2 linked regions of the Cricetulus griseus genome follow. The protein of the gene in region 1 purifies or fractionates together with the protein of each later gene. This does not show direct contact. Links are inferred from orthologs where the notes say so. Each region holds a gene or a part of one and is shown in the gene's direction. Other genes may lie near its edges. The genes, in order: Ticam1 and Tlr4.

Region 1 (15,923 bases):
AACAGTGACCCTCTGTGGGGGAGACCTATCCCCAGTACAGACACCAGCCTGTCAGAGGGTGGGGTGCAATGTATGAACAGGAACCAGAGGCTCTGTGGAGGCTGCTCCTGTCTGAGCAGCCTTGGTTTTAACAACTGCCCTTGCAGATGCATACCTGATGAGGACATGTGTCCTATAGGACCCAGGTGGCTTGTGGGTAACGCCAGGTAGGGAATAGTAGATACTTGTGGGAGCTAGTTTTGTAACCCAAGCAAAGTGTCACCCCAGTACTTGGGAGGCTGAGGCAGGAAGATGGAGAATTTCTAGGCCAGCATGGGCTACATAGCACGACCCTGTCTCAAATATAGAATTAGCTTCAATCTGGGGCTGTGGGTAGAGCATTCACCTAGCACACACAGGGCCCTGGGTTCCATCCCCAGCACAACATAGCCAAGCATGGTGGCACAGACCAGTAGACCCAGCACTCAGGAGGTGGAGACCAGCCTGAGTCTTTTCCCACCCTTTCCAGTTCAGACCAATTGAACTGCCTGTCTTCCAGGGACACAAAGCCTGACCCTCCCTGTGTCATGCTACTCTCTGCCCATGGCTTCCTGTCCTTGCCTTGGCTAAAAGCACCAGGCTGCTTTCACTTCCCTGGGTGCAGCCCCCAGCTTCCAAGAGAACTGCTATAAACCATCTGGCCTGGACAAAATGTAACCATTTTCTTTTGAAAAATCTACTGTGTAAGGGGAAATGAGAAGGGGATTTTTTTTTTTCAGAATATAGGATTTTGCCTAGTGTGAGTACACACACCTTTAATCCCAGCACTTTCCAGGCAGAGGCAGGTGTATGTCTATGAGTTTGATGAGATGTCTCAAAAAACAAACAAAACCCACAAAGGCCTTTGAGTGCCTGTGCTAAGGCCACAGGTTGGCCTCTGTCTGCCCAAGGCCATTCTTCCCGTTGTTTTTTACAGGGTGTCAGTGACCTGGGGCTCACAGATTTGGCTAGGCTGGCTGTCCGGAGGAGCCCTGGGGGTCCATCCTCCCGTCTCCTTCTCTGTGGCAGGCTTTCTTGGACCAACAGCCCCCAAGCCATAACATGGAAGCTTATTATTAATTATGAATTCTCAGCCTTAGTTTAGGCTTGTCCCACTGGATCTTATAACTTATATTAACCTGTTTCTGTTCATCTACATTTTGCCTTGGGGCTTTTTACCTTTTTTTCATTCTGTAAGTCTACTTTCCTGCTTCTCTGTGTCTGCTGGCTGTCCCAGCACATCTCCCTCTCTTTCTCTGACATTTCTCTCTTGAGCCTAGATTCCTCCTCCTCCTTATTCTCTCTGCCTGCCAGCCCGGCCTGTCCCTCTACTGCCTAGCAGTTGGCTTTTCAGCTTTGTATTACACCAGTCAGGTGCCTTAGGCAGGCAAGGTGAAACAGCAGCACATCTTTACATAGTTAAACAATTTTCTTCAACACAAACAAATGCAACACATTTCTACATAGCTAAACAAATATTCTATTCCACAATACTCCTCCCTGGTGCTGGGCTTAAAAGCTTGTGCTTTTCAATTTTTTAAAAATATATTTCACTTTAATCATATGAAGTATGCCTGTGCTAAGTGTATTTCAAGTGTCTAGAGCACAACTTCCACGGATTGAACTTGGTTTCTCAGGCTTGGCAGCACGCATCTTGGCCTGCTCAGCCATCTTGCTGGCCAAGTCCTGGGAATGAACTTTGTTTTGCTTTTTATTCTGAGATGGGGGCTCCTGTAGCTTGGGTTGCCAGAGACCTGCAAGCCTCCTGCCTCGGGTTCTCAACCCTCGACACAGGGCATGCACCAGGCAGTGTGAGCTTGAGCATTCTCCCCCTCTGTGCCCACAGCCCTGATTGCCACATCCCCAGAGGGCTCAGACCTGGCCTCACTGCAGCAGCAGAGACAAGAAAGGAACTACTTCGTCCGGCTGGGCTCGCTGTCAGAACGGCTGCGCAACCACGCCTATGAACATTCACTGGGCAAGCTGCGCAGCGCTAGGCAGAATGCCCATGAGGCACTGCAGCAGCTCACGCATGCACTCAGCCTGGTGAGAGTCGGGGTGTGACCAAGGCTGGGGCCACCTTCCTATCTTACCTCATAGCAGGTGGGCTGGGCTAGTTCCCCTGGGCTGGCTTCATACACCATAGTGTATGAGTCAGCTCAGGCTGTGTAGCAAAGTACACAATCTGTGCAGCTGAACCAGACACATTCATTGTACAACCTTGTGAGAGGAGTTGCAGGCTTTGATAGTGAACCCAGTGTCATTATCTAGACGGTTCCAGGGTGTGTGGGGCAGGGCACAGGCTTTCTCTACTTTCCTGGCAGCTAGGGATGCTGGTCGCTGGGTCCCGAGATCAGCTAAGGCACTCTTCTGTCATATTCCCTGTGAAACTGACTGACGGTGGTTGCTGGTGGAGCAGGGTCCATCCTCAGCATTGCCCAAGGGCAGAAGCAAAGGTGTGGGACTCCTTGGCAGAGCCTTTCATCCAGGCAGAGGCCAGCCTGGTCTACATAGTGAATTCCAGGCTAGCTAGAAAAGAAAAAAAAATGTAAATGAAGAATATCCCCGTTCCTGTTGTCCCCAACTGGCTGGAGCCCAACATCTGGGACAGAGGAGTGCTCCCTTTGACACAACCCCCACCCTTTTCTCTGGACCGCAGATGGAATCGGTGAAACAGGGCATGGACCAGAGGCTGGGGGAGGGGCAGGAGAAGCTACACCACATGTGGCTCAGCTGGAACCAGAAGAAGCCCCAAGATGCAGAAAAGGATGCAGCTAAACCAGAGGTACCTGCTGGGCACCGGGATCCCTGTGTCCGTCTGCATACCCTGCTCTGTGCACTCTGTGCTTCCTGTCCCAGGGGTGACCACAGAATCCAGGCTTTACATGATTCTGTTTTGGCTTTTTTTCTATCTTGGTTTCTCAAGGACCTCACTATGTAGCAGTGGCTGTCCTGGAACTCTCTCTCTAGCCCAGGTTGGTCTGGAACTCAGAGAGATCCACCTGCCTCTGCCTCCCAAGTGCTGAGATTAAAGGCGTGGACCACCACCACCTGGCATTTTTGGCTTTGGTTTTTAATTTTTGTATTTTTAAAATTGCTATGGAGGGTTGTTTGGTTTTGTTTTGAGATCACAGCTGTATGGCCATCACATCTGGTCTCTTAGTGTCCACATTGTGGTTTGATTTGGGGTTTGTATTTTTGTTGTTTTTTTCTTTTTTTCTTTTTTGAGACAGGGTTTCTCTGTATTGCTTTGGAGCCTGTCCTGGAATTGGCTCTGTAGACCAGGTTGGCCTCGAACTCAGAGAGATCCGCCTGCCTGGGATTAAAGGCGTGAATCAATCACTGCCCAGCTGCTTTTTAATTTTTTTCTGTTTGGCTTCTGTCCCCTCCTAGTAGCTTTTGTGTTCGACGATGAGTCTAGATTCTAGGCATCTTCCAGTGTCTCCCTGGTTATAGGAGCCTGAGGGGAGTCCCTGATGCTGGGCTGTCCCCCTGCTGGCCCTCACCCCATCCCCACTCTCTCCTTCCAGCAGGTGGAGGCCCGGGCACTCAGCATGTTGAGGGACATCACCCAGCAGCTGCAAAGCACGTGTGTGGCCCTGGGGGCCAGCATCCAGGGCCTGCCTGGCCACATCAGGGAGCAGGCCCAGCAGGCCCGCAGCCAGGTTGAGGATCTTCAGGCCACCTTCTCTGGCATCCATTCCTTCCAGGACCTCACAGCAGGTGTTCTTGCCCAGACTCGAGAGCGCATAGCCAGAGCCCGGGAGGCCCTCGACCACACTGTGGAGTACGTGGCCCAGAACACTCCAGTCACATGGCTGGTGGGCCCCTTTGCTCCTGGAATCACTGAGAAACCCCTGGAAGAGGAGAAGCAGGGATAGGGGTCAGGGCCCGCAGCTGGCTCCAGTCAGCTTTTCCCAAAAGTCCTGTTGCACACCAAGTCCTCACCTACCCTGAGTCTGAAGAAGTATTTAACCTCTTCCCATCAGTCTTTTAAAGCAAAAAAAAAAAAAAAAAAAAAAAAAAAAAATTCTAGAATGTTACTGGAAAATTTTTTCTAGAATGTTCTAGAAAAATTTTTTCCCTAAAAAAAAAAAAATCAGGATAACTAGTAGTGATGGCACATGCCTGTCATCCTATGCCAGCACTGTGACAGTAGAAACTGGAAGATCTAGAATTCAAAGCCAGCTGGGCAGTGGTGGTGCATGCCTTTAATCCCAGCACTCAGGAGGCAGAGGCAGGCAGATCTCTTGAGTTCAAGATCAGCCTGGTCTACAAGAGCTAGCTCCAGTACAGACTCCAAAACTACAAAGAGAAACCCTGCCTCAGGAAAAAAAAAGAAAGAAAGAAAGAAAGAAAGAAAGAAAGAAAGAAAGAAAGAAAGAAAGAATTCAAAGCCAGATGCTGCATAGCAAACTCAGTTATAGCCTAAGCTAGGTAAGACCTTGTCTTGACAGACATCAGGTCATGGTGATACTGCATTCTGGTCCCTTTACTATGTCATGACCTACAATAGCAAGCGCTTTCCTAACAGACCCTGATACCTGATCCAAGAAGCCCGCCTCCATGACAGGGTGGACAGCAGGGATGTGAAAATCATTTCAGATGAGAAAGTGGCTGAAGGCTGAGTGTCCAGTGTTCCTCAAACCCTGGGGTTCAGTATTGCTTTAATAAATTTTACATGCATCAGAGACCAGGCAGATGGTGTGTTTGTTCCTTTCCCAGCCATGGATCCACCCTGGCAGAGGACCAGGAGGGACCTGCTGCCCATTTCCCTTCCCTGCACATTCTGTGAGGTGAAGAGGAGGTCAGTGCAGCAGACTGAACACCACCTGCCAAGCACGTCCATGTCTGATCTCCTTGACCTAGAGACCAGAGGATTAGGAGTTCAAGTTCACCCTTGGCTACGAAGTTAGTTTGAAGCTGGCCTGGGCTACAGGAGACCCTGGCTCAAAATAGCAAAACTCGGGAGCAGGAGAGATGGTCCAATGGTAATGTGCTTGAGTGTGACCAAAAAAGATACCTGATGCCAATCCCTGACTTCCACAAACTTGTCTTATACATAAGGAAAACACGGGCCATTCTAATACCAACTCTAATATCCAGAGCTGTGGAGACATCATGGTCAGTGACATGAGCCAGATACTCTTGCCTAGAATCCCCCACTGAGGGCTTGGGGGTGGGGGTCAAGGATGGAGCCCCACCTAGAATTCCCCAGTGAGGGGCTGGGGGTGTGGTCAGGGTGCAGCTCCCCCTCTCCCACCTAGAATCTCCCAATTGGGGTGGATGGCTCATTTACACAAACCACTTCCCAATCAGTGTCCCCTATAAATCGCTTCTGTTTTTCTGTTTTCACAATTTAGTTTCATCAGTTTTAAAACATGCCTGTAATCTAACCATCTGGGAGGCTGAGTCAGGATGATAGCCCAAAGTTGTAGGATAGCATCATGTACATACAAAGGTGGTTTCTTTCTTTCTTTCTTTTTCTTTTTTTTTTTTGAGATAGGGTTTCTCTGGGTAGCTTTGGAGCCGTTCTGTAGACCAGGCTGGCCTCGAACTCACAGAGATCCACCTGCCTCTGCCTCCCGAGTGCTGGGATTAAAGGCATGTGCCACCAATGCCTGGCCACAAAGGTTGTTTCTTAAAATACTAAATACCCAGAAACCTCAATTTTTTTTTTATTTTGTGTCCTTATGATGGCTCAGCAGGTGAAGGAACTTGCTGTTCTTTGACCTACACACACACACACACACACACACACACACACACACACACACACGAAAAAATATTAAATAAGATGTGACGTGAAAAAATATTCTCACAGCCAGGCATTGGTGCCCAGCAGAGGCAGAGGCAGGAGGATCTCTATGAGTTCGAGACCAGCCTGGTCTACAGAGCGAGTTCCAGGATAGGCTCCAAAGCCACAGAGAAACCCGGTCTCAAAAAAAAAAAAAAAAAAAAAAAACAGATGGATTTTTTCCTTGTAGCCTCCAGCACTCTTGTTTATTACTTATTATTTATTCGGGTTTTTTTTGTTTTGTTTTCTTTTTTGAGACAGGGTTTCTCTGCGTATGTAGCCTTGGCTGATCTGGAATTCACTCTTCTCTGTAGACCAGGCTGGCCTCGAACTCACAGAGGTCCACCTGATTCTGCCTCCCGAGTGCTGGGACGAAAGGTGTTTGTCACTGCCACCTGGCCTGTTAATTTATTTTTGAGATGGAAGTCTCCCTGTGTAGGTCAGGCTAGCTTGTAGCTTAGGGCCTGTTACAGCTTCCAGTATGCTGGACCCAGAGGCATAAGTCACCAGCCTGTGAACTTAGCCACATGGTGCATTGCAAATCCCCACAGAGTATGTCACTAATTGAGGTCTGTGGCTACCAGCTCCTCGGTCTCTGGGGGTGGGGGTTTCTTCTTCCCCTGCTTTGGCCCCACACAATGAGAGCCCTGACTTGTTCTACGTGGCACTATGGCGCTGGGCGGAGGGCAGGGCCAGGGCTGGGGCGCCCTGGGGACTTTCCCCTCTGGGGCGGGACACAGCTGACTTCATCTGCTCCTCCCCACACGGAAGGGGTGGAACCGTTCCCTCCTCTTCTCCCTCCTCCCTCTCCAGCGGCCACCAGGGACCCTGAGATCCACCAGCCCAGGACCCCACGGCCAGGTAGGAGGAAGGCAGAGGGGACAGCGGGTGCAGGGCCAGAAGGGCCCTGGACAGCCTGGGTGGCACGCTGGACCTCCACCTGCAGCCCGTTCTGCTGCTTCAAGCAGATCCGCAGCCCATTTTCTGACCCCAACCCAGTCCTAGGATCCTGGGTGCTTGCTCAGACCTCAGTGACCCCCCAAATTCCTAGATCTTCCAATACACAGGTCTCCTCCAGCCACAACAGCCAACTCTCAGCCTCCCCACCCCCAATCCCTCTCCTGGTCTCTATTTCCTGATCAGAGCCACTTTCTCTACCACAATGTCTCCTGTCAAAACCTCTATCCCCAGACTAACACAGGCAGCAGTCTTCCAGGTGTTGGGACTGGCCTGGTGAAACTTCTGTAGCCAGCTGCCCCTGGGTACCTGCAGGGTCAATCCTGGAACCATCCAGGTTCCCTGGAAGCACTCAGTCTCTGAGTCCCAGAGCTGACACTCACCAGAGACTGGGAAGGGTACCCTGTGCCACAAGAGATTGTCAGGTCTGTCAGGAAAGCCAGGGAAGAAAGAAAGGAAGCCCCATTCACCCATCCATCCATCCATCCATCCGTGTGTCATAGTTCATGCTAGGGATAGAGCCCAGGGTCTCATGCATGCTAGACGAGAGCTCCACCCACTGAGTGCCTTCACCCCTCTCCTAAAAATAATTACTTCTATTTTTTGATGTCATTTATGTTATTTATTTGTATCTGGAGATGTAGACCAGGCTGGCCTGGAACTCACTTAGGCTGTCCCTGATCTCTTGGTTTCAAGAAACTCTCCCAAGCTTGGTGGTGCTGGCCCATGCTTTTAATCCCAGCACTTGGGAGGCAGAGGCAGGTGGATCTCTGTGAGTTTGAGGCCAGCCTGGGCTTCAGAGCGAGTTCCAGGACAGCCAGGGCTACATAGAGAAATCCTGTCTCCAAAAACAAAAGAGGGGGAGAAAGAGAGAGGAGAGAGAGAAAAATCCTCCTGCCTTAGCTTTTCAGATAGTTTGGATAAGAGGAAACAGACACCCTTAAGTAGTAAAGGCAGGAGGATCAGAAGTTCAAGGTTATCCTGGGCTACATAGTACAATGCCTATATGGTCTATGAGATCCTGTCTCAACAACAACAGAAAACAAGCAAATAAAACTCGAATACTGTGCATGCACCCTGCTATATTTTTGCCTGCTCTTTGCTTAGCAGTGTCAATAAACATTTCTCTCTCCTCTCTGTGTTTCTCTCTGTCTCCCTCTTTCTCTGCCCCTGCCTCTTTCTTCCTGGCACTGGGAGTTGAAATCCGGGCCTCCTGTATGACAGACAGGTACTCTATCCACTCAGTGCATTCCCAGGCCTCAGTAAGCACTTTTTAAGCACTTATTGTATACCAGGTACCACCCTGTTCATGTGTTAATTTTTTCTCTCCAGTGAATGCTTATTTTATTTATTACTGTTGTTGAGTCAGGGTTTCTCTGTGTAGCACTGGCTGTGCTGGAGCTCGCTCTGTTGACCAGGCTGGCTTCAAACTCACAGAGATCTGCCTGCTTCTGCCTCCTGAGAGCTGGGATTAAACAGGCCCAGCAGTTTGTTCATTTATGCATTTTATTTTAACTTTTTCTGTCTTCTACTAATGGGTCCAGGGACTGAACTCAAAGTTCAGTCCAGATTGGCAGCATCAAGCATCCTTACCCACTGAGCTATCTTGGCAGCCCACAGTCGGCATTATGTACCCACTATGTGTCAGGCACTCTGGATCCTAGGAACTATACAGTTGTACCTGAGCCCTGCTCCTGCTGGGTCCCAGATACCTGTCTGTTGTGGGACATGAAGTAAAATTCAGTAGGAGGTCATGAGGAGTTGAGAGCTGCCCTGCTAGAGAAGGGACTGACTGCCTGAGGTTATGTGCTCCTAGAGGGACATCCATGCAGAGGCCCTTAGGTGGGACAGTGCATGTAAGTGACAACATAGCATGCACAGGGGGAGAGAGAGGGACAAGTTCTGGTTAACTCTGTGACACTCTCCTCTGCCTGGAGCTCCCCTGGACTCATCCTCCCCACAGCACACATAGGGAGCTTCCTCCCTAGGATCTCCACCCATAGCCCTCCAGGGCTCCCATCTCCCTCAGGGTCAAAGCCACCCGGGCCCCTCCTCCCTCTGTTCTTGCCTACTCACCTCTCCAGCATGCCAGGCTGCACTCCGTACCCCAGGACCTTTGTACTCACAGTGCTCTCCAAAGGGCCTCTCTGGACTAGCTCATCTCCTTCAGGGGTGCAGCTCAGTCATGCCCTCCCTAGGGCATCCTCCACCCCAGGTTCTGTCTCAGGTTCATTTCCTCCATGGCACTTTTATTTCTCGAAATGATCTTAGGTGATTTTTTTTTTTAATCACATCCTGTTGCTCTGCCTGATGCCCGTGTGTGTGTGTGTGTGTGTGTGTGTGTGTGTGTGTGTGTGTGTGTGTAGCGTCTCCCACGGCAGAGCCCAGACACTCCTGAGTGAGAAATGGTAAGCAAATGAAGAGACTGCACGGGTGTGAAGGAGGGACCTGAGGACAGAGGTGGACATCCTAGATGAGGGTGGGAGATTTCTGGTGGGGTGGGGGGTCAGGACAGGGATTTAGGGGTAGGGCTTTGGCCCCTGCCCCAGGACCTTTGCATTGCTGTGTCCTCTGCCCCAGGGTCTTTGTATGAGCTGTGCCCTCCCCTTGCAGTGCTCTCAGGCTTCTCCATTTTCTTTTTTCTTTTTTTCTTTTTTTGGTTTTTGGTTTTTTGACCTCGAACTCACAGAGATCCACCTGCCTCTGCCTCCCGAGTGCTGGGATTAAAGGCATGTGCCACCAACGCCCTGCAGGCTTCTCCATTTTCATGTCCCTTCCAACTGTTGTCTCTGAGTCCTTAGGACACACTGTTCAGCTCTGCCAAAGTAAGCCTTAATTCTTGTAGCTCTTGACCCTTCTTCAGGCTTCGTCTGGTCTGCAGCCACGATGGGCAGCTGACCCCCTTTCTCTGTCTGACAGGTCTTCTTAGCTCTGTTGCTTTTGGTCACACTGTCACTGCCTCTGTCTACACTTTCACACCTAACTGCCTCCATTTCCCAGCAGTCATGGAGAGGGTGGTGGCCCTGCCTTTTTTGCTCTTTCCAGCTTTTTCCATTTTCCTGGGCTGCCATTTGCCGTCACCGCCCCCACCTGTCATGCTCCTGTGCCTCTGGCTCTGCCAATGGTCATTAGGCCCCTCCCTCTGCCTACCTGGCTCCCTTGACCTCTGCCCAGCCTACCTCTGCTGCTTCAAGTCCGGTCTTTATAGGCTTTTTGGTCATTTGTTTGCAAAGTCTGTGGGTTAACTGACTGACGTGTTGACTTCAGGTCTAGACCAGGGTCCCTTTTGAGCATCCCGGACACGTACATGGCTGGGACATTCTCTATGGGGCATTGTGGAAGGGTTCTAAGAAGTGTCCCTAGCCTTCACCACTCCATGCCAGGGCTGTCTGGTCACAACAGCCACACCTGTCCCTGCCTGAGAGGCCAGCAGGTGGCCCTGGGGTGGGACAGGAGTGAGTCCCATCCCAGCCTGGCTATAGAGGGGGGATGGGTGTCGGGGACACGAGGACTGACCGACTCTGAGGTCTTCTCAGCTGTGAACAGAGAGCTGGGGTGAGTGACGATGGTGACCGTCCCAGCTGAGGATCACTGTGAGTGTCCTGTAAGTCACTGAGAACTTCATACCAGTCCACACATCCACTCACCCCCACTCGTCCGCTCACTCACCACACCTGGTTCTTGTGGCACTGGGCGTGGGACATGGAACTCTGCGGCAAATGCTTGGCCAGTGCTCTTCCCTCTGTCCCCACCCCTCCTGCTGACCCATCTCCCTATGTAGCCCTGGAGCTCAGAGACCCCCCTGCCTCTGCTGTCTTGTTTGGAAAGTCACGATAAACTCCTAATTCCGCAGGTCTGCTGCACCACCCTCTGGGATCTCCTGCAGCAGGGGACACTCTGGGCAGGAGGCTGCTGTTGCAGAACATGTCTCCACCTGTCCCAGCCTCTGTGGCTCCAGGCTTCATCCTCCCTCATCCATGGCCAACCCAGACCCATCACTCCATGGTGCCTTAAACCTTCTAAGAGCAGTGGAAAGGGACAGGCTGGTCCATCTGAAAGACAAGCTGGGGAGTCTGAATCCAGGCAGCCAGGAGTCCAAGCTTCTTCACGCCATGGTGCTCTTGGTTCTGGGCCAGAACACTGAGGCCAGGACCTCTTTGGAGTCCTTGAAGGCAGACACAGTGGCCCAGCTGATAGCCTGCCAGTGGATAGGTGTGGACAGCACAGAAGGCCCTGAGGAGCCTCCAGATTTGTCCTGGTCCGTGGCTCGCCTGTACCACCTGCTGGCTGAAGAGAACCTTTGTCCTGCTTCCACAAGGGACATGGCTTACCAGGTGGCCCTCCATGACCTCGCCTCTCAGGGTAACCACTTGCTGGGCCAACTCCAGAAGGAGGCCCGGGATCGGTGTAGTTCAGACATCATGGGGGACCACTGTGGCTTCCAGCCACTCCATTCTGATCAGGGTTGCCTGCCTCCTTCTTCAGCATCCCCTTCAGTAACTAGAAGCCAGCCTCGACCCATTGACACATCAGACTGGAGCCAGGGACATTCTCTACACTCTACCAGCAGCATCGCTTCACTGGCTAGCCACCTGGAGATCAGCCAGTCACCCACTATGCCCTTCCTCTGTCCACACCGTGGAACCCATGGGCCCAGCAAGCTCTGTGACACACCCCCAGCTTCCCCTGAGCCTCAGCTTGTCCCTGCAGGCTGCCAAGAACCTGAAGAAGTGAGCTGGCCCCTGTCAGTGGACACCAGCGTCCCCGTCCCCTTGGGGTCACTACACAGAACTGGGGTCCCAGAGGTGTCCCCTGAGGTGGCTTCAGCCATCCACCCTGACTCTCTGGCTGCTCCAGACACGAGTGTCCACTGCCCGGTTGAATGCACAGAGGCGTCTGTAGGCTCCCAGTCTCTCCTGCCACCCACCACGGAAGGCATTGGAAAGCAGCCGTCTATCACCGATCAGATGTCACCCCCGGGCTCTGTAGGAGATGACAGTCTGCAGAACACCACATCTAGCCCCGCTGCCCAGCTACAGTCCCCCCAGTTCTCTACTACACTGCCTCCTCCCCCTCTGCCCTCTGCTTCCTTCCCCAGCAGCTGTCCTGTCCCCCCAGCCTCCATGCCCCCCATTCTGGACCACTTGGAAACATCTGAGCAGAAATTCTATAACTTTGTGGTTATCCATGCCAGGGCTGACGAGCATGTGGCCCTACGTATCCGGGAGAAGCTAGAGACCCTTGGGGTGCCCGATGGGGCCACCTTCTGTGAGGAATTTCAGGTGCCTGGGCGTGGTGAGCTGCATTGTCTCCAAGATGCTATCGACCACTCTGGGTATACGATCCTGCTTCTGACCACCAACTTTGATTGTCGTCTGAGCCTGCACCAAGTCAACCACGCCCTTATGAACAGCCTCACGAAATCAGGAAGGCAAGACTGTGTGATCCCCCTCCTCCCACTGGAGTGCTCCCAGGCCCAGCTCAGCCCCAACACGACCAGCTTGCTCCACAGCCTTGTGTGGCTGGATGAACACTCCCCTATCTTTGCCAGGAAGGTGGCAAACACCTTCAAATCACAGAAGCTCCAGGCATACCGGATACGTTGGAAGAAAGAGCAGGAGACCAGAGCCCTCAAGGAGCAGAGCACACAGCTGGAGGCCGAGCGGCAAAGGGTGGCTGCCATGTCTGCTGCCTACTCAACCTATGTCCACAGCTACAGCGCCTGGCAAGCACAGATGGACAGCCTGCAGATGGCCTTCGGGAAGGACTTGTCACTGGGGGCCCCTACACCCTTCCCCAGTTGGCTGGGATGTCCACAGCTAACACCTTCACAACTATGGCAGGGTGGCACCCCGGTTTCCCCCTATTTCCCGCAGCCTCCAGTCTCTTTCCCCCAGCAGCCTCCGTCTTTCCCGCAGCCTCCAGTCTCTTTCCCCCAGCAGCCTCCGTCTTTCCCCCAGCAGCCTCCGTCTTTCCCGCAGCAGCCTCCGTCTTTCTCGCAGCCTCCAGTCTCTTCCCCGCAGTCCCCACCCTTCCCATCGGCCTCCCCTGCAGCCACCCAGACTCCAGGACCTCTCATTATTCATCATGCCCAGATGGTTCAGTTGGGGGTCAACAACCACATGTGGGGCCAGACAGGGACCCAGTCGACCAATGACAAGACTGAGTGTGAGGACCCCTGCTTGGGCCCTCCGAGTGACCAGGGGGGACCCCTGCTTGAGAGTGATCGTGTTGGAGCCCACTTAGATTCCTAACATGACCAGGCTGAACCCAACCTAGACTGCTAGAGTGGCCAAGCTGGACTTCACCTGAGTCACCAAAGCGACAGTGGGAGAGGGGAACCTTGCCTGGGCCTACACAGCGGCCATGAATTGGACCCCAGAGGCCAGGAAGACCTCGCCTGTAAACGCAGGGCCTGGAAAAACATCCAGAACCCTATTGAACATTGGACAAGACTCTGGGACCCCAACCCGCACCCTCTAGGTGGACAGACCGCTAAGGAGCCATAGGCTCCTCCAAGGTGCCCCCAGCGGCCACGTGACCCTCATCCACCGTGGCACGTACAGTCTCTGGGGAGGATGTGGTGCTGGGGCAATGGAGAGGGTTTATAATAGCTGAGGGTTTATAAGCTGAGTCACGAGCCGGCGCCCTCACCCACCACCTCCTAGAGAAGAGACTCAGCTCCACCAGGACTGGAATAGAATAGGAGCTCCATCCGGCTCCCTGAATGACAGGAACCGGAATCTGTGGATGCATTCTCATCCCATTGGACAGCGTGGACCACGTGGCCTTCTGCTGCAAGGGACTCTGGGAAACGTAGTTTATTTTGTGGGCGGCCATATCCCAGGAAACCTTGCAGTGTTAGGAAAGGAGAACACTGGGGAGTTACTGGTGGTGTTGATTGCTTTTGTGAATTTATTTATGTAGTGTATGTGTGCCAGGAATGTGTGGCGATTGTAAGACAACCTGTTTGAGCCGGTCCTCCTCCTCCATGTGGGTCACTGGGATAGACATGTCAAACCCATTCTCACATTAAAAGGTTTATTATTTTTTTAACATCTATATTGGCAGATTTTGCTACAGCAGGGTTTTCTTTGGAGTGTGGGCAAGTGGTGTGGTTCAGCCAAGGCTGTGGGACTTTGCATCTCCGACCCTCTGCCATCTCCTCACATTTATTTAGCTTTTTTGTTTGTTTGTTTGTTTTTGAAGACAGGGTTTCTCTGTGTAGCTTTGGAGCCTGTCCTGGCACTCGTTCTGTAGACCAGGCTGGCCTCAAACTCACAGAGATCCGCCTGCCTCTGCTTCCTGAGTGCAGGGATTAAAGGTGTGTGCCACCGATGACCAGCCAACAAAAATATTTCTATGGTTGAGGGCCACCACAACATGAGGAATTGTATTAAAGGATCAGTGTTAGGAAGGTTGAGAACTACTGGTAATGGACAGTGTGGCTGCTTGGGAATCGGACTCGGGACCTCTGGACCAGTGCTCTTTTGACCAGTGTTTCGTTTGAGACAGGTTCTCTCTACATAGCCCTGGATGAACCAGGTGTCGGTGGCGCACACCTTTAGTCCCAGAACTTGGGAGGCAGAAGCAGGCAGATCTCTGAGTTCAAGGCCAGCCTGGTCTTAAAAATAGAGTTCTAGGACAGCCAGGGCTACACAGAGAAATCCTGTCTTGAAAATCCAAGAGCTTTTAATGTGCCCAGACATCTCAACCCTCCAAACAAGCCTCTGTGAAATGTGAATTCATTCATTTAACAGCTGGGGAAAACTGTGGCCCTGGCATCACTTGAGTTAGAATTCAGGGGAACTTAATGTAAGAAAGCCAGACTTCCAAGGACAAGCAACTGTGGGCTCATCCCACAAACAGCCAAGGCCCTGTCTTACATGCAGGAGGAGATGAGTCACTCCTGCTTTCTGTTTTAGTCTCTGAGTCAGACCTAGTCAGACCCGTCTGTGCAAGGCAGACCTGAAGTGAAACCCCAGCATCACAGTTCTGAGATTCTGGGGGTGGGGTATGTAAATGAAATCCTCTGAACCATGGTGTGTGGGGTGACGGGTGGTTGGGAAGGTGCTAGGTTCTTGGCTGTGGAGTTCCAGGGTGAGGTGTCAAAGGAAGCATCAGTAAAGCAAGCAAGGGGACCTGGGAAAACTTGAAGGGACTTGAAATAAGCAGGGAGGTGACAGCCTGTCCTGAGGTGCATGTGGACAACACAGCTCAATCAAAGGCCTCAGGGCAGGACAGAGCCCAGCACATTAGGGGTATAGTGAGAAGACTGGGGGGAGGGTACACAGAGGACAGGGTAGAGAAGGGCAGACAGTTGCCTGTCAATTCACTTCTACTGGATTGGGGGGGGCAAGAGATGGCTCAGCTGGTAAAGGTGCTTGTCATGGATCATGACCCGAGTTCCCTCGCCAGGACCCACCCATATGGTGGATGGGGAGAGCCGACTCTTGCAAACTGACCTCCATATACTTGCACATACCCACATTAAGTCAAGAAATGTAATTTAATCACCCTGGCATTTGGGAGGTTGAAAAGATATCAAGAATTGAAGGCCAACCTTGGTTACTTAAGTTTGAGGCCAGCCTGGGCTGTGGGGGGACCCATCTCAAGACAAAAGCCTAAATGTTTTTTACACATTTCCTTTTTAAATTTACTTGTGGTGCTAGGCAAGTGCTTTGCCTGTGAGCCACAGCTCTAACCCTACATGAATTTTTTTAAAAAGATTTTATTGATTATGTATACAACATTCTGCTTCCATATATATCTGCACACCAGAAGAGGGCACCAGATCTCATAACGGATGATTGTGAGCCACCATGTGGTTGCTGGGAATTGAACTCAGGACCTCTGGAAGAGCAGTCGGGGCTGTTAAACTCTGAGCCATCTCTCCAGCCCCATAAATTCTTTTATTTTTTTGTTTTTAGAGACAGGGTTTCTCTGTGGCTTTGGAGGCTGTCCTGGAACTAGCTCTTGTAGACCAGGCTGGTCTCGAACTCACAGAGATCCACCTGCCTCTGCCTCCCGAGTGCTGGGATTAAAGGCGTGCGCCAACAATGCCCGGCCCCATGAATTCTTTTTTTTTTTTTTAAAGATGTATTTATTTATTTATCATGTATACAGTGCGTGCCAGAAGAGGGCACCAGAT
Region 2 (15,875 bases), on another chromosome or scaffold:
ATTTTCAGTGGTCCTTAGGAAACAATTTTTTCCTGATGCTTAAGCTTTTTTGTTATTTATTTAAAAGGAACTCATTTTCCCTTGTAAACAAATAATTCTCCACTGAATATAGCATGCTATTAATTATAAGACATACTTCTATCTACCGAAAAGAAAAAAATTAAAAGCCCTGCCCACTATAATAATAGTGCATCAATATTCAGGAAGCCTATTATGAGCTGAGAAATGTTGCTGAGGTTTTCTTGTCCAGCCAGGTCCTGCCACCCTTATCCCAAAATGAACACACACAGAGACTCTGTATTAATTATTAAGCTGTAGGCTAATGCTAGGGCTTCTTATTGGCTAGCTCTGTATTAATTACTAACCTATTTTGATTAATTTAAATATTTCCACGAGGTCTTATCTTACTGGGGAAGGGACAAGACTTGTTACTCCTTCCTCCACTACATGGCATCTCTTTACTGCCTACCTTTCCCAGAATTCTCCTTGTATTCTAGTCACTCCCATCTTCCTGCCTCTTTTAGCCAAACAGTGTTTTATTCCCCCATCAGAGAAGTGTTAGTAGGTGAGAAGTGTGAAACTCAGGGATGTTAGATAGTTGGAAGGAAACAGTTAAGGTTCTAATATACAAGAAGCAAAGGGAAACTTTCTTCTCTCTACCAGATTATATTGTGGTTATTCACTCTTAATGTAAGATTGTGTTGCATATATTTTGATGATGAAAAAATGTTAGTCATTAATAGGGCAGCATTGCTATTGTACAATGGATCCTGCAGTTTTTGATACTCTCTCTCTCTGTGGGTCTCTGTCTGTCTCTTTGTCTCTCTCTCTCTCTCTCTCTCTCTCTCTCTCTCTCTCTCTCATGCGTGTGTGTGTGTGTGTGTGTGTGTGTGTGTGTGTGTGTGTGTGTGTGTGTGTGTTTGAAGTAGGACAAAAGGTTTAAAGGTTAGAGATACCATTTTAACAAATGAGTTCTTAGGACTGATTCTAACCATAGAATGAAAGAAAAGGTTATACAAGTCAGAGGTGACAGAGGAAAGTAGTTATGAATATGGATGTGCTTCCCTCCTCTTTTCATATCTTGGAGAAAACTCCAAGCCTATTTATCAAATGTAGCAGCACAATGAAGTAAAATGTCTCTGGTAGCAGGAATCATTCTTCATATAGTTGCAAGCATGGATTTTCTCACTGACAATTTCATGAGCAAGAAATATGTATCATGTCATGTATATGTGTTATGTCATCATATAAATTAAATTAATATAATACTAGTCATATGTATTGTATTTTGTTTCTTATTGAATATTCAGCATCTTCCACGTTGGACCAGATGCTCACTTTTCTTTGGTAAAGATAGGATTCCTCCATTGGCTGAGTGATAGAAAACCAAGTGGCTGCCTAGTCAGTCTACTCTCTATTGTGCTTTAAATAATGAGCTCATGATGGTAACTAATCACTTGTATATAACTCATTGCAAAATTGTATTGATATGCTTTTTGAGGTTAAGCAATAAAACTCCATTTTTTAAGGTTTCTCTCTTGTATTCTACACATGGCCTATCTTCTAGAAGAGGCTCACAGAACTGAAATACCCTAGTTAAGGTCATACATGCCAATGCATTTTTCTCATTAGTTTCATAAGGAAATATCCACACAATGCACTCTCAGGAATATTTCTACTACAGTTAAGAAAGCTTTCCAACACACAAGCATCAATGCCTCATAAGGCATAGTCTAGAAGGGATTATTTTATTCTTTCTCTTGGGTTTCATTTTGACAACTCAGGGGCTTCCTTTCCAATAGTAGAAAGGACATTTGTATCATAGTAAGTGGGGGGTCTAGTTATATCTGTCATTAATTAACATGCTTTGTTTGTTCCTCATAGGTGACATGTTTGTGTATAAAGGGTGTCAAGGAAGGATTGAGGTCCAAGGAATATTACTAAGACAGTTAGGACATATTCTACTTCCTGTGTTTTTACAGGGAAAACTTGAACTAAAGGAGAAATAGTGGGAAAGTTGAGTCTTCTGAATATGTGAATCTGGGTTTTTAAAGACAGATTTACAGTGTATTACACTACCCTAGACTAAGGGACATAGTCAATGATGGATGAAAATGAACAATTAGATTTTAGAATTAGTTTATATTTGAAGTTTCTAGAGTTTGACACAATTTCTTTTTCAATTGTGTAAGATTTTTTTATTATTATATTTAACAGTTCTTTTTCTATTCCACTATCTTCATTGTATAGCATTATATAAGTTAAAATAGTCCTTTGACATTTTATGGGTTTCCTTTTATTATTATTATTATTTCTTTTTATTTAAATTAAAAAATCTTATTTTACATACCAGTCCCAGTTCACTCTCCCTTCCCTCCTCCCACTCCCTCCACCATCTCCCTATCCCAGACCCCATCCACTCCTCAAAGAAGGTGAGGCCTCCCATAGGGAATCATAAATTGGCATAATTTTCTAAATGTGTGGTTGAGATTAATAGAGTAGGAGATGATTCACTTTGAAAAGATAGACATTAATTTTTTCTTTAAATTGATTGACTCTGTGTGTCATATGCCCCCTTTCTCTCTCTCTCTAACTCTCTCTCTCTCTCTCTCTCTCTCTCTCTCTCTCTCTCTGTGTGTGTGTGTGTGTGTGTGTGTGTGTGTGTGTGTGTGTACATGACTGTCTGCATGTGGAGAATAAACAGGACTTGCATGCGCTACTATGACTTTGTACTTTATTCCCTTGGGATAAAGTCTGTTGCTGAACATGTAGGTAGACTGGTGGCCAAAAAGCCCCAGGGAGTCTCTAGAAAGGAGTATCTGGTCCACTGTTGTCTGCTCTTCTGCAGTTTAGTTTTAGATAAGCTTGATTTGAGGCACTTATGGCATATTTTGGGGGTGTCAACTAAGACACTGGTCCACTGACATTTAACCTAGTTTTATTAATCAGAAACTTAAAGTAAACTTGCCTTTTTGAAGACATTGCTTTGAGAGCTTTACAACAAAACTTTGAGTAAGTATGATTACCCCTATTTTATACATTTTTGATAATTGCTATAGTTATCTTTTATGGGATCTGATAAGAATCTATGATGTGGTTGATTTAATTCAATCATGCAAGAGAAATGCAATTATCTTGTATTTATTCTATGATTTATTTACTTTTTGTGTGTACAAGTGTTGACCTACATATTTTTATGTGTATCAGATATAATGATCATGTATGGCCAGAAGGCAGCAAGTTCCCTAGAACTGGAGATACAGATGCTTATGAGTTACCATATGAGTGCTGGGAAGCAAACCCCATTCCTTTAGTAGAGCAATAATTGATAGCCTTGTGTCTTTATTTTACATAGTAGCAAATGCTGATTTGGTGTCTGTGTATTCTGCCTGCATCATGTATCTTTTTCTTTTCTTCAGAAACTGCTGATTGACCTTTTAATCAGAACAATGAAGGGATACACTCTGTCCCTAGGAGTGATGACAGAACATCATTTTGTAGCAGGACTGGGATTTACAGGTTGGAAAAAGGAATTTGAGGAATGAGAAGATTCCTTCTGTAGGTCAGTTCTGCCAAAGTCTCAAAGTGGTAAATACAATGGAGGTTGGTATATTTGAAGGGACAGTAGCGCACTCAACAGAGCATGTGGCTCTGCAGGCCTCGTCCTTCTTCCCCATTCTATCTGTCTTGCTAAAAAGTGTTCCTAAAGCTAGCCACCAAGGTCCATATCCTTATTTGGTCATTTCCTCTTCCGGAGGCTGACTAACAAAGTCCAGCAATCAGAAGCCCCCTCTGGTTCAACTAATTAACATACTCAACTAAAATTAAATACCTCATCCTAACACGGGGTTTCCCCTTTACCTTTATAAACCACCATTTGCCTATGTGTCATATCTATCTGGTTATTCTCTATCTCATGTCTGTCTGGTTCTTCTCTATCTGGAGGCAGCCCTTTGTTCCTCCAGGACAAGTACTCTTTTCTCCTTTCCTTTGTCCCCTTCCCCTTCTTCCTCAACCCATATCTCCTTTACCACTACCACATAGACCATTCTAACACAGATCTTCTCCTCTTAAAATGTAACCCTCAAAGTCATTTACTGGTGTTATCTGCCTGACTCAGAAAGCAGCCACTTTAAGTTTTCTTCCCTGCTTAATAAAGGATTTCTGTGGAAACAGATGCTTGGGTGGGCTTTGTGCTTAATCCAGGGTCCAGGAGGTAGTCCCTACTGTACAGGAGTCTCCTTCAATATTTATCTTATCAGAAGTTTCTAGGACCAAAAATGATCCAGGAGAAATCACATAGCTTTCTAAGCATAAGCATTCTAAATATGAGTTTCTATAGGGAGAAAGAAAGAGAAAAAAAAAAAGAGAGAAAATGTTTTCAGTTTTACAGGTCAGAATGTAAGATTTGGAAAACAAAGTCATTTGAGAATTGTCACCTAATCATAAGTCATGAGCCATAGACCTGACCTGAGGATATGTAATTCTGATCCCTTCTGCTCTACTCATGGTGTTTCCCCAGAACCTTTCAATTAGCTTCCTATGTGGGCATTTCTTCACCGGCAGTGTCACATGTAGAATTATGTACTGTTCTCTGACATTCATATGTTGAAGTCTTCATCTCCCATTGCCTCATCCTGTGACTTCGATTTAATGAGATAATTAAAATAATGTTCTATGGTTCTGCCTTAGTACAGTATAAGCAATATTACTTTTAAAACTGCACTTGCGGCATGCAGCAGGTGGCCATGTTGGAGTGGTGGAGGCAGCACAGAGGTGCGTCCTGGGTCCCGGCGGCGGGCTGGTTTGTGGATACCAAGGCAGATCTGCAGTGCCTGATGCCATAAGCATGGTAGTGCACCATGTGGAGGAGAAAGCTGTACACTCCTGGTCACGAATTTCCACAGCAGGGAAGAAAGCCCTGAAAGAGCCACTGCTTGTGTTTAATCCTAGGAGCCAGGATCTCAGTGCCACAGAAGCCCAGCTTGTGGCCTTCCTACAGGGCCTGCGAGATGATGGCTTCCAGGGGACCATTCTGTGAAGTGGTGATGTCTATGGCTTTAGTTCATGCACAGCCACCGCCCCCCAGCCAGACAAAGCTACAAGCTCGTAACACCAACCCATCTGCCACATCTCTTCCATCCAGGGCTCCCCAAAGTGCTGTGTTGCAACCTGCAATCCAGCCACACTGCTCCCGTGCCACTGTTTGGCAGGCTGACTAAGGGGTCCACACCGGCCCTCGCCAAGCATGCTACCACTAACTTGCTGCTGAGCTCTCTGAAGCAATCAAATGCCAGCCACACCAGTGGTACAACAGTAGGCTTCCCTGCCCACCTCTACCCAGGTGTCTACCCTGACATACGACTGTCTGTGGTCCTTGAAGCACTGGTTCCACTCAAGATTCCTTGCTTGGGTATTAAGAACAGGGCACAATCACTGCTGCTGTCACTTGCAAACTCTACCCTGAAACTGAGAAAGGTTCGGGGAACCCACAGTCCAAAGCATCCCAGAAAATAACAAGCAAAGGCATCAAATGCCTGAGTAGGAAAGGCCCTGGGGCTGATCAACAAGGCACTGGGCCCCGGAGCAGTGGCCTACGTGTGAAAGGGTACTCTGCCTTGGGCACCAAAACAGTGCGGGCCAAGGCATCTCGAACACTGACCAAAGCTGCTCATGCCCACGCCAGCCTAACTCGAACCCAGAACAAGTCAGTAAGGGTCAGGGCCAAGACAACAAAGACCAAGCCCAGGGCAACAGGAGCCAAATCCAAGGCCACTGTAGTAAGGGACAAGGCTAAAGCCAAGGTGGTCAAGGACAAGCCAAGGCCAAAGCAGCTCAGACCAAGTACAAGGGAAGGCCAAAAGGATCTGTTCAGAGTAGAACTGGAAGGACAAGCCTGAAAAGTGGCTCTGAGTCTGTGGGGAAGAAGAGGAAGAAGGCTGAGGAGGTAAAGGGTCTTCCTCCTAAGAAGAGAGCACAGTTTGTGCTCCAGTCTTCTAAGGCAAGGCTGCGGCCTAGAGCAAAACCACGAAAGTCCCAGACTATAATGGAGCACAGAAAATTCTCAGAAGATGAGGTTCTACAGTGGGCCCAGCAGATCCTCCGTGTGAACCTCTCTCCAGTAGTATGGCTCCAGCCATTGCTACCATCTTGATTCCATACTCAGCATCCTGAGTCATCCTTGGCAGCAGTGCTTGGGAAAACAGTTGGGCTGTCCATGTGACCAGTATCACAGTGTGCTATGCTCGTGGACTCTGCAGCTTTCCAGACTCTGGGTACCTCCAGGACCCCTGTGGTCACCATCCTCTTTTCAGAAGCTGAGGATTTGGGGTTGGGTGGGTAGCGGTCTGGGTGTTCTCATGGCTCAATATACTGTGACTTGTTCTTCTAGTTGTACATCCAATGTTCCATCTATCATGTTTTATATCTTTCCACAAAAAAAAAAGAAGCAGGGGGCCGGGCATTGGTGGCACACACCTTTAATCCCAGCACTCAGGAAGCAGAGACAGGTGGATCTCTGTGAGTTAGAGGCCAGCCTGGTCTCTAGAGCGAGTGCCAGGATAGGCTCCAAAGCTACACAGAGAAACCCTGCCTCGAAAAACAAAACAAAACAAAAAGAAGCAGGGCCTGGGGAGACATGTCAGTAAAGTGTTTTATGTGCCAGAAGACCTGCAGACTGCTAGCACCCTCATAAAAACTGGATGCTTTGCATGTACCTCTAACTCCTGCACTGAGGTAGGGGCAGAGAAGACTAGATCTCAGGAACTCACTGGCCACTCAGTCTAGTCAATGAATGAGCAGTCAATTAGAGACCCTGGCTCCAAAATTGCAGTGGGGTCTTCTGAGTTTTACCCTCAGCTCACTAGCCAACTCTTATTCTTGGGAATGCATTCCCCTTTGTAATAAACTGTGTCTGTTCCTTTCTCTAACAGTAATAATAATAGTTATAATTAATAATTAATAGTAGCAGAAGAATGGAGACAAACAAGGAAGTCATCCAACAGTGAACTCTGGTACACACACACACACACACACACACACACACACACACACACTTGCAAGTGTACACAGAGAGTACACACACATGAAGTATTCATCCCCCCCATGAATAAGCAGGTACACATACACAGGTGCGTACACATATACCCAACCAAGAAAAGATCAGGACACAGACACACCCCACAACATCATTTTTCTGGCTTCCACCCTTCAGAATTGTGAGAAAATAAGTTTCTGTAGTTTGTAACACCCAGTGCAGTACTGTGCCGTCAGATACCTAGAAGTCTAGCTTGACCACTAGTGAAAACAAAACAGGAATGTGGACGTTGCTCCAGGCACATATACTGGCTTCATGAGTATCTGGTTACTTTCTGCGTTCCCCAAGCCCAGAGGTCAGATGACTTCCTGGGATGAAAGCCAGCTTCCTCTTGCTGTTCCTCCACAGGCTGGTCGGCAAACGCCTTCTTCCTGTTCTTTCCTTAGTCTTCTATCTAGCCTCCTGAGATAGGGTAGATACATTCTAGAGAAAGAAAGAAAAAAAAAAAAAAGTGAGAATGCTAAGGTTGCCACTCTCACTTCCTCTCACCCTTAGCCCAGAACATTTTTTAATATAGTTCTTTCAGAGGGGCACCCGCCCAGAGAGAAGAGGCCGGTGCCCCAGGGACTCTGCCTTGCCAACGGCTACAGTTAGTTCATCATGCTTTCTCACGGCCTCGGCTGGTTGCAGAAAATGCCAGGATGATGCCTTCTTTCTGCCTGGCTGGGACACTGATGATGGCATTGTTCCTCTCCTCCCTGAGACCTGAAAGCTTGGATCCCTGTGTGGAGGTATGTGTCTCGACCAGCTCCTTTCCTGTTAGCCTCCCTTGTTTCTCAAAACTCTCCCTATGTCGGAGCTTCCTGCTGTGTGTTCTGATTTGTTTATTTTGCACACAGGAGTTAAACTAACCAAAAACTTGAGAAGCTGTGAGGACAAAGAGACTCTGTGTTAGCAGGGCAGCAACAGGCAGCCAGTCAGTGTCTTGTTCTGTTTAGACTTCCGAGCCATGATTATTAAAGACTTGAAATTAGTAAAACTAAGGATATTGTTTCTGTGACTTGGCTGAGTGACAGCCAAGAAGTTACTGAACCTTTCTGAGGCCAGTTTTCACACTGTAAAAGAATTACAGTGCTCACAGGGGGATTGGAGAAGGCTAGTAATAGCAGGCCTTTCTGTTGGTACTGTGGACACTCAGCTTTCAGAAGTCATTCCTTTCCTTTCCTACTCAGGTAAAGGTGGCTGTCATTTCTGTCTCTTAAGTAGCATCTGTGTATGATGGAGTGGTCGATCAGCAGGTTCAGTCAGTTGCTGACAAGCCTGACTACCTGAGTCAATCTTCAAGCCCCACATGGTGGAAGCAGAGAATCTACTTCATTCTCTGAGTTCCAAGTGTCTGCCCTGACAGTTGTGTGCATGCATGAAAGTGGACACACACACACACACACACACACACACACACACACGCACGCACGCACGCACGCACGCACGCACGCACGCACGCGCACACACACACATGTTAATAACTGTAATTTTTTTCCAAATGAAAGAATTTTCTGAGAATTTTAAATTCTACCACTAATTTTAGAAAATAATGAAATGGGAGGGAGGGAAGGGGAAAGACAAACGGGAGGAAGATAAAGACAGAGAGACAGAGAATGAGATAGACAGAGACAACAGAAAGAGGCAGAGAACAATGTAAAACATCAGCTAAGGCAGTAATTCCCTTCTTGGTGAAACAATGACTAGTGAGTAATATGATTCATGACTAATTCTTATTTTCTCACTGCACAGACCACACAATTATCTCAGAAGCTCACAATAGAGCTGAACAAACAGGGAAATAATTTAGGGCGAGGCAGGCTCAGAAGCTCAAGACAGGTATTACAAGTTGGAGTCACGGTGTTGACCTGGAAAAAATATTATAGCATAACAAAGACTAACTCCTTGCTATCTCGGTATCTTGTCTTCTGATTCCTTAGTTATGCTGACAGAGATAGAGTTTCCAATCAGTTTCATACTGAGAAAAAATCCTGTGGTATATACTGTACTCTGGAAACCCCCATAGTCAGCCTGTTTCTTCCATAAGCTCATGTCTCAGTTCCATGGGCCTTGTCTCCAGGGATTATGACTGGTTCCCTAATTTGCTGTCCTTTCTGTAACCACACTTTCATCTCTATTTGTTTTCACCGGGCCAGAGGACTGGATTTATCAAATTACTCCTTTACCATTTTTAATAACTCTTTAGTGCCTCCAAGGCTGTTTTTCCTACAGAGTAGTTTCACTGCTTGTCCTACCCACACAACCCCTCCCCTAGATCAGAGCTGTCTTATGATAAAATTTTGGGATCTGCTTATATAGTTTAAAATGTTCCTGGTGGTCAAACTGAAAAAAAATGAGTGAAGTTATTTTTAGTGATATATATTATATAATCAAATATAGTCCAACTATTAAGAAGATAGTTTATGTTCCATTTTTGCTACAGAATATTAGAAAGTCAGCAATATTTTATGTTTACTACAAAATTTGATTTATACTACACACATGGTTCATGTTCAACAGTTGTCTGTGACATATAGCCACAGACAGAATGTAGGACTTTGATTTCAGGATTTAATGTTTCACTTTCACTTTATGTAGATCTCTGTAAAAGGGTCTCCCCAGGGTGTTTTTTCTTGATTCCCAGATGGAGATATCTGCCTTTGGCCTCTTTGTGTGTGTTTTCATTGATCATATCATATCATATTTTTGTCTGTTTTTAATTAGTTATCCTTCCTTTTCTGCTGGGTTTATCAATATGCCACCAGTGTCTAGATCATAGTAGGTCTTTAGTTTGTATGCAAATGAAAGAATGACTGCTGGACAATGTCTGATGCTCTTGTGTTCAGGTTGTAGCTACCCATAACTTAAGGCTCTCCTCCCTTGCCTGTTGCTAGCCAATTCATCTGAATTTGTTCCTACCCTTTACTTGCTTATGTTCTTTTCTTCTTATGATTTACATTTCTTCCCTTTTCCACATGTCAGATACTGCTCACCTTCCATGTTCTGGGTCTACAATCAGTCTCTATTACCTGTGAACCAGGCTTGCTTTGTAGGTTTTAGTCCCTTTCCTTCTCTTCTAACTGATGTTGAGTTCGATGACAACTGGAATTGTACAGCATTTATTTTTGTACTGCTCATGGCCCTTAGCAGAAAAAGCCTACCATTTGGTTTACATGGACCTCTGTTCACCAGGTATAGAATTTTCTATCATTCACTCATGCAACAAATAGCTAATGGGCATTGACAGGTCACCTTGCAACTTTCTGAGCCTTGGAGACAATGTACCAAACAAAATCATCAGAGCATCAAAGCTCATAATCCAGTTCATCAAATGAACGACATTTGGAAAATAATTATATAAGCAACACAAAGTTGCTCTGTGATTGAAACCTATGAAGGAAATAAAAGAGGGCAAGTGAAGAATTTCTTCCTGACACCTTATTCTATTAGAAGCACTCTCTTTAAGGATACTATGGTAAGTATCGTGTAAGCAGACAAATGTGAACATACATGGATAAATCCTTTATGTGCATTACCCCATCTTCTCATTTTTCCATCTTTAAAAGATGTTTTGAAGATTAACATAAAATACATAACATGTAAGTAAATTGTTGATATACAGCAAGGGATTAATAATAGCCAATGATAATTAACATTAATATTCATCACTTTAATTATAGCAAGCTTTGAGATAAGATCTGATCTCATTTAATCCTTTGAGAATTCTATTTCTTTTAAATAAGAGAAAGCAAAACTCACTGGGTTAAACAAAGAATTTTCTGGAAGAAATCATGTAATTATGAAATTAATTGGAAGGTTATGGAATAGGGTTTACAGTAAATATGAGAAAATAGATAAAACTAAGTGGGGACTATAACAGCACAAAACACTTGGCCTTGATCAATGGATTCCATGTACTCTAAGACTTCCTCTCATTCCTACACCAAGTTGCTAAAGTCAATAAGCCAAGAAAGAAAATGTAATTGTCTAAAATAGGTGGTATCTAAAAAATATCTGGATGTCTTCATTGGTACTCTCCATGTGTCTGTATATAATTAGGATATGTAATTAGAATGATAGTAATTTTACATAAAACTATGTATTTACAAAATATGTGTATTTTACATAAAACTAATTAAATTAGCTGAAGGTATTATAAAACAAACATTGTCTCATTCTCAACATTCATTAGTTTGTAGAGAGTTGAGGACTCCTGAGCTTTTTACTCTATCCATGGTAGCATGTCTTGTTGTCATGTTTAGGAAGTCATGTTAATGAGGCTTCTTTTTTTCCTTTTTAAAATTTAAATTAGAAACAATCTTGTTACATGTCAATCACAGTTCTATCTCCCTCCCCTCCTCCCCTTCCCCACAGCAACTCCCTATCCCATCCACTTTCTGCTCCTCAGGGAGGGTGAGGCCTTCCATGAGGGATTATCAAAGTCTGTCTTTATGAGTGTAGTTTCTGACATTATTAGGAGACACAATATCACAATAAACTTGTTCCCTTGGATATTATATTATATTATATTATATTCTTTCATTGCCCCGTTTTACAATGACCTCTGAGCTTTAGATGCAAGTGTTTTATTGTTAATGTATCCCTTGGAACTGGGATGCAGAATTATGCATTTTGATTGGTTTTGGTTTTCTGTAATGGTCTGTTGTATGGGAAAGAATCTTGCTGGGGAAGAGAATACTAATTGGTTACCAAATATGAAATGGTCATCCCTGAAAAGATATATATGTAATATTATACAAATTGATCAGGCTGTACTTATGTAATTATGGTATATATATATATATATATATATATATATATATATATATATATGCATGTAACAAAAACTAATGAATAAAAAGAGGAAATGGATTTGAAAGAGATCAAAGAAAGGGGTGAGGGAGGACTTCAAGGGAGGAAGGGAAATGATATAATTATAATCTCAAGAATAAATAAATAAAATGGTTAAAAAAAAGTTTCTTTGCACCCCGTGGCACAGAACATCTGTTATGAAACCGAGGATTTAAGAATTGATAGCCCTTTAATTCCTGATTCTCTTGTTCCTCATTTAATAATGTTTTTTTTTTTTGTAGTAAAAGGCTAACACTGTGAGAATTCAGGGGATACTTTTTTCCTATTGTATAGAAGAAGAGATTTTTATAAACATGAAGTGGTAGATAATGAATGGGTGATGATAGATGTGGTGTCTTACTCTTATAATATCAACACTGGTGTGGTGTGGGCAGGTAGATCAGGAGTTCAACGTCAACTATGGCTGTAAAGTAAATTTAAGTCCAGACTGGGATAAATGAGGCCCTGTTTCAAACAAAACAAAACAGAATGAATGAATGGGTAGATGGGTGTACAAGAGAAGGTTGGAGGGCATGCTTGTATACAAGTTTTGCCACCCTATTATTTGTCTTTGGGGAGGAGTGGGAAGACATGCAGTTGGAAACAGACCTTTGTTATGTGATCTTTACAGGTGGATTCTAACACTAGCTACCAATGCATGGATCGGAATCTCAACAAAATCCCTGACAACATCCCTTCTTCAGTCAAGCATTTAGATCTGAGCTTCAACCCCCTGAAGACCTTAGGAAGCCATAGCTTCTTTAATTTTCCAGAACTCAAGTTGCTGGATTTATCCAGGTAATAAATGAGTTTTAAATGCTGCACAAGGTGAGATAGTTATTTTTCTATCATTTCATTCTTGGCCAAGAAAATTTATCTTATCTAACTCAACTTCTTGCATTGATTCATTCATTACAATGTATTACTTGCTGTATATCCTCCAACAAGCTACTTTTATCACTCGGTTTCAGTATGATGCACCACTAGATAAGATCACTTAAGGACAGTTCTAGGTTTATTTTAGCTTAAACTATTCCATTAGATGTTTGTGGGCCACATACTATATGTTGTTCCCTAAGCTACAGAACAAGCATTTATAGATACATACCTCATAGTCCTACTTATTAAGTAGGATTAATATGTTCTTCAATGAGTTAATAAGTTAAAATTTTGTCTCTGATTTTATACACATAGCACTGTTACAACACATGTTAATCAACTCTGAAGCTGTGGTTTATAACAGTGACTGACAAACTATGTACAAATAAAGGCAACTATTGGAAGAGGAGCTGTCTTATCATGTGTTGGGAGAGGATGGTGACATCAGTAGGTGAAGGAGATGCCTGAAATAGTGAAAGTGAAACAGAGTGTAGAGAATAAGAAAGACACTAAATTAGGAGAAAGATGCCAAAATTCAAGAAAAACATTTGCTATTGGCAAGAAAGTGTTGCTGAGATTTATTTTGTGACCTACCAATTTTAACCATGTTCTCTGTGTAACCATAGATTTAGAACTAGCTATTGGAGCCTAGTGAGCTCAACCATTTGATGAGCAGCTAAAACCAATGACTGTCTCTCCCCTAGATTCTAAAGTTTAATAGGGAGCAAAGGATTCCATGATCTCCTCGCTGATCCATGACTTTTAATTGGTAGGTTTAGTCTTGTGGAGGTCCAATGCAGGTAACCACAGTTGCTGTGAGATCAGGTTTGCAATGGCTGTGTCATGCCGAAAGATAACCTGTCTTCTCCCTGTCATCTGGCTCTCATCTTCTTTTTGCTCCCTCTTCCTCAATGCTTTCTGATCCTCAAAGCAGGTATTATAATTGTCTGTTCAGAGGTGAGCACAGAACCATCTTATGCTCCTTCCATCTAGAACATCTAAGAAAAATCTGTATTCTCCACTGTTTACTATAAGAGCAGTGACATTTGTTAATGGGTATAAATATCATTATTTAGACAAGAGTCTGGTGCCATGCTAATTTAGTTAAACCACATTAATAACAACCATACCTCCCACCCCATAGTTATGCTAACATTTCAACACTAGACACAAGTTGCCTGGCAAGTTCATGTTATAGTTCTAGGTAATTAGCTAGATGATACCAGTAATGACTTCTCTCTCCAAGCAGCCTCTATAGCACCTTCTTGCCGAAAGCTATTTGTCAGGAGGGAGGCTTCAGCTTTACATCCGTGAATTGTAATGAGAGGGGCATCCTTGAAATTTGAAGTAGATAAAGGGCCTTCATTGTTTTTTTTTTTTTTCAATGTTTGTAAAACTACAGAAATGCTTCACATGTTTTTATTCCAAAATGCCTTGATAAAGATTAAGATTATGGTATTAAAGGTCTTCTGCGAGAAGTCATTACTGCCAAAAATTTATCAAATACTTTATGCATTATAGTCTTTACTTGGGCATTAACAGAGTATTCCAAAGGAGGAGGGAAACACCTCTGTAGCATGAGGAAGAATGGAGCCCATGTTTCTTCCAACATTTATAGCTGTGTGACCTGATGCATGTAACTTTTACCTGAGTCTCAGTTATCACTCATATTAAATGGAAATGATAAAACTTCCTGCATGACCCCCGTTGAGGGCCCTACCCTGTCTGGGGAGTGGTGGGTGCATGGGGTGGGGGGTAGGTTGGGGGTGTGGGAGGGGTGAGGGGAGGGAGAGGGAGAAGGGACTTACATGTGAAACAAGCTTGTTCCCTAACTTGAACTAATAAAAAAAAAAAGCAAAAAACTTCCTGCATGGTTAAATGTTATTATGCATTGAATGTAGTAAAATTATTTAGTGAGTTTTATAAGTTTAAAAATGCTGTTATAATCATTTCCTTAGATTTTATTTTTTAGTTTTTCCAGGGAGATTTGAAGTGAGCCAAGTTAGACTGGGGGATAGAAAAGAAGTAGAAAGAATAATTTCTTATCAATAAGAAGGGGATGTGATTTCTCACCAATGTCCTATATAATTGAACATTGATCTACAGTACAATTATGAGCTTGTCTCTCTCCTTGCTGTATATAGCATATCTTACATTATCTTGGAATAAAATTCATAATATTTCATTTGGTTTGTGAGTCTCTACTTTATCTGCAGACCCCCTCTCTTCACATCTTCATGTTAGCCTTCCTTAGTTCCCATTTCCCCCTACAGCCACAGAGACTATGTATTATGGATCCTCCTTTGGCATGCCTGATTCTTACATTGCCTTTTAGACCTGCTGATTGCTTTACTTTTATTCCTACTTATCATTAAAAATTCTGTTTAAATATCCACTGTTTGACTACCCAACCTGTCCACATCAGCCAGGCTAATCATCTCACTTTGGAGACAGTCATGCTCTATATGCTGTTCCTCTGGAGCAGTGGTTCTCAAGCTGTGGGTGATAACACCTTTGACAAACCTCTATCTCTAAAAATATTTACATTATGATTCAAAACAGTAGCAAACTTAGAGTTATGTAGTAGCAACAAAAATAATTTTATGGTTGGGGGGTGACCAAGGCATGAGGAACTGTATTAAAGTGTCATTAGAGAGGTGGAGAACCACTGCTGTAGAGAATCCTGACTAATATAGACAACATCAATGCTTGCTAAAAAAAAATCTGTTTAAATATTCTCAGAAAAGTCTGCTTTTGTCCTCTGAAGAGGGTCAATTCCTGTGATGTGAACATTCATAGCCAAATTTCCACTTCTTCCACAAAACTTACTCATGCTACCAATTGACATTTACCTGTGATAATGACAGATTTAAAATACCAGCTGTCATATATAAGTAACTTTTTGTAAATATTAATTCCATCCTTGACACTTACGTGTAATTATTTATGTCTTTGAAATTGACTTTCACTAGTCATTTATCATGACTTACAACTAACAACCATCCATATAGTCTGTACCCATTAGATGTACAATCACAGCTGTGTGGAAAGAAACACCTTAACTTAA

What was found.
Region 2: the proteins of Ticam1 (region 1) and Tlr4 purify together in Homo sapiens (affinity purification with western blotting; 3 studies listed by BioGRID). This does not show direct contact. The link is inferred for Cricetulus griseus from reciprocal best matches to the Homo sapiens genes TICAM1 and TLR4.

What each region holds. Positions count from the first base shown.
Region 1 is NC_048598.1:97,275,383-97,291,305, forward strand, and holds Ticam1 (TIR domain-containing adapter molecule 1), read left to right. Parts: upstream 1-6,556; 5' UTR 6,557-6,676; intron 6,677-10,625; 5' UTR 10,626-10,749; coding exon 10,750-13,026; 3' UTR 13,027-13,834; downstream 13,835-15,923. Other genes in the region: Plin3 (perilipin-3), read left to right, coding at 1,865-2,064, 2,678-2,803, 3,549-3,899.
Region 2 is NC_048595.1:79,138,726-79,154,600, reverse strand, and holds the start of Tlr4 (toll-like receptor 4 precursor), read left to right. Parts: upstream 1-7,488; 5' UTR 7,489-7,737; coding exon 7,738-7,827; intron 7,828-12,560; coding exon 12,561-12,727; intron 12,728-15,875.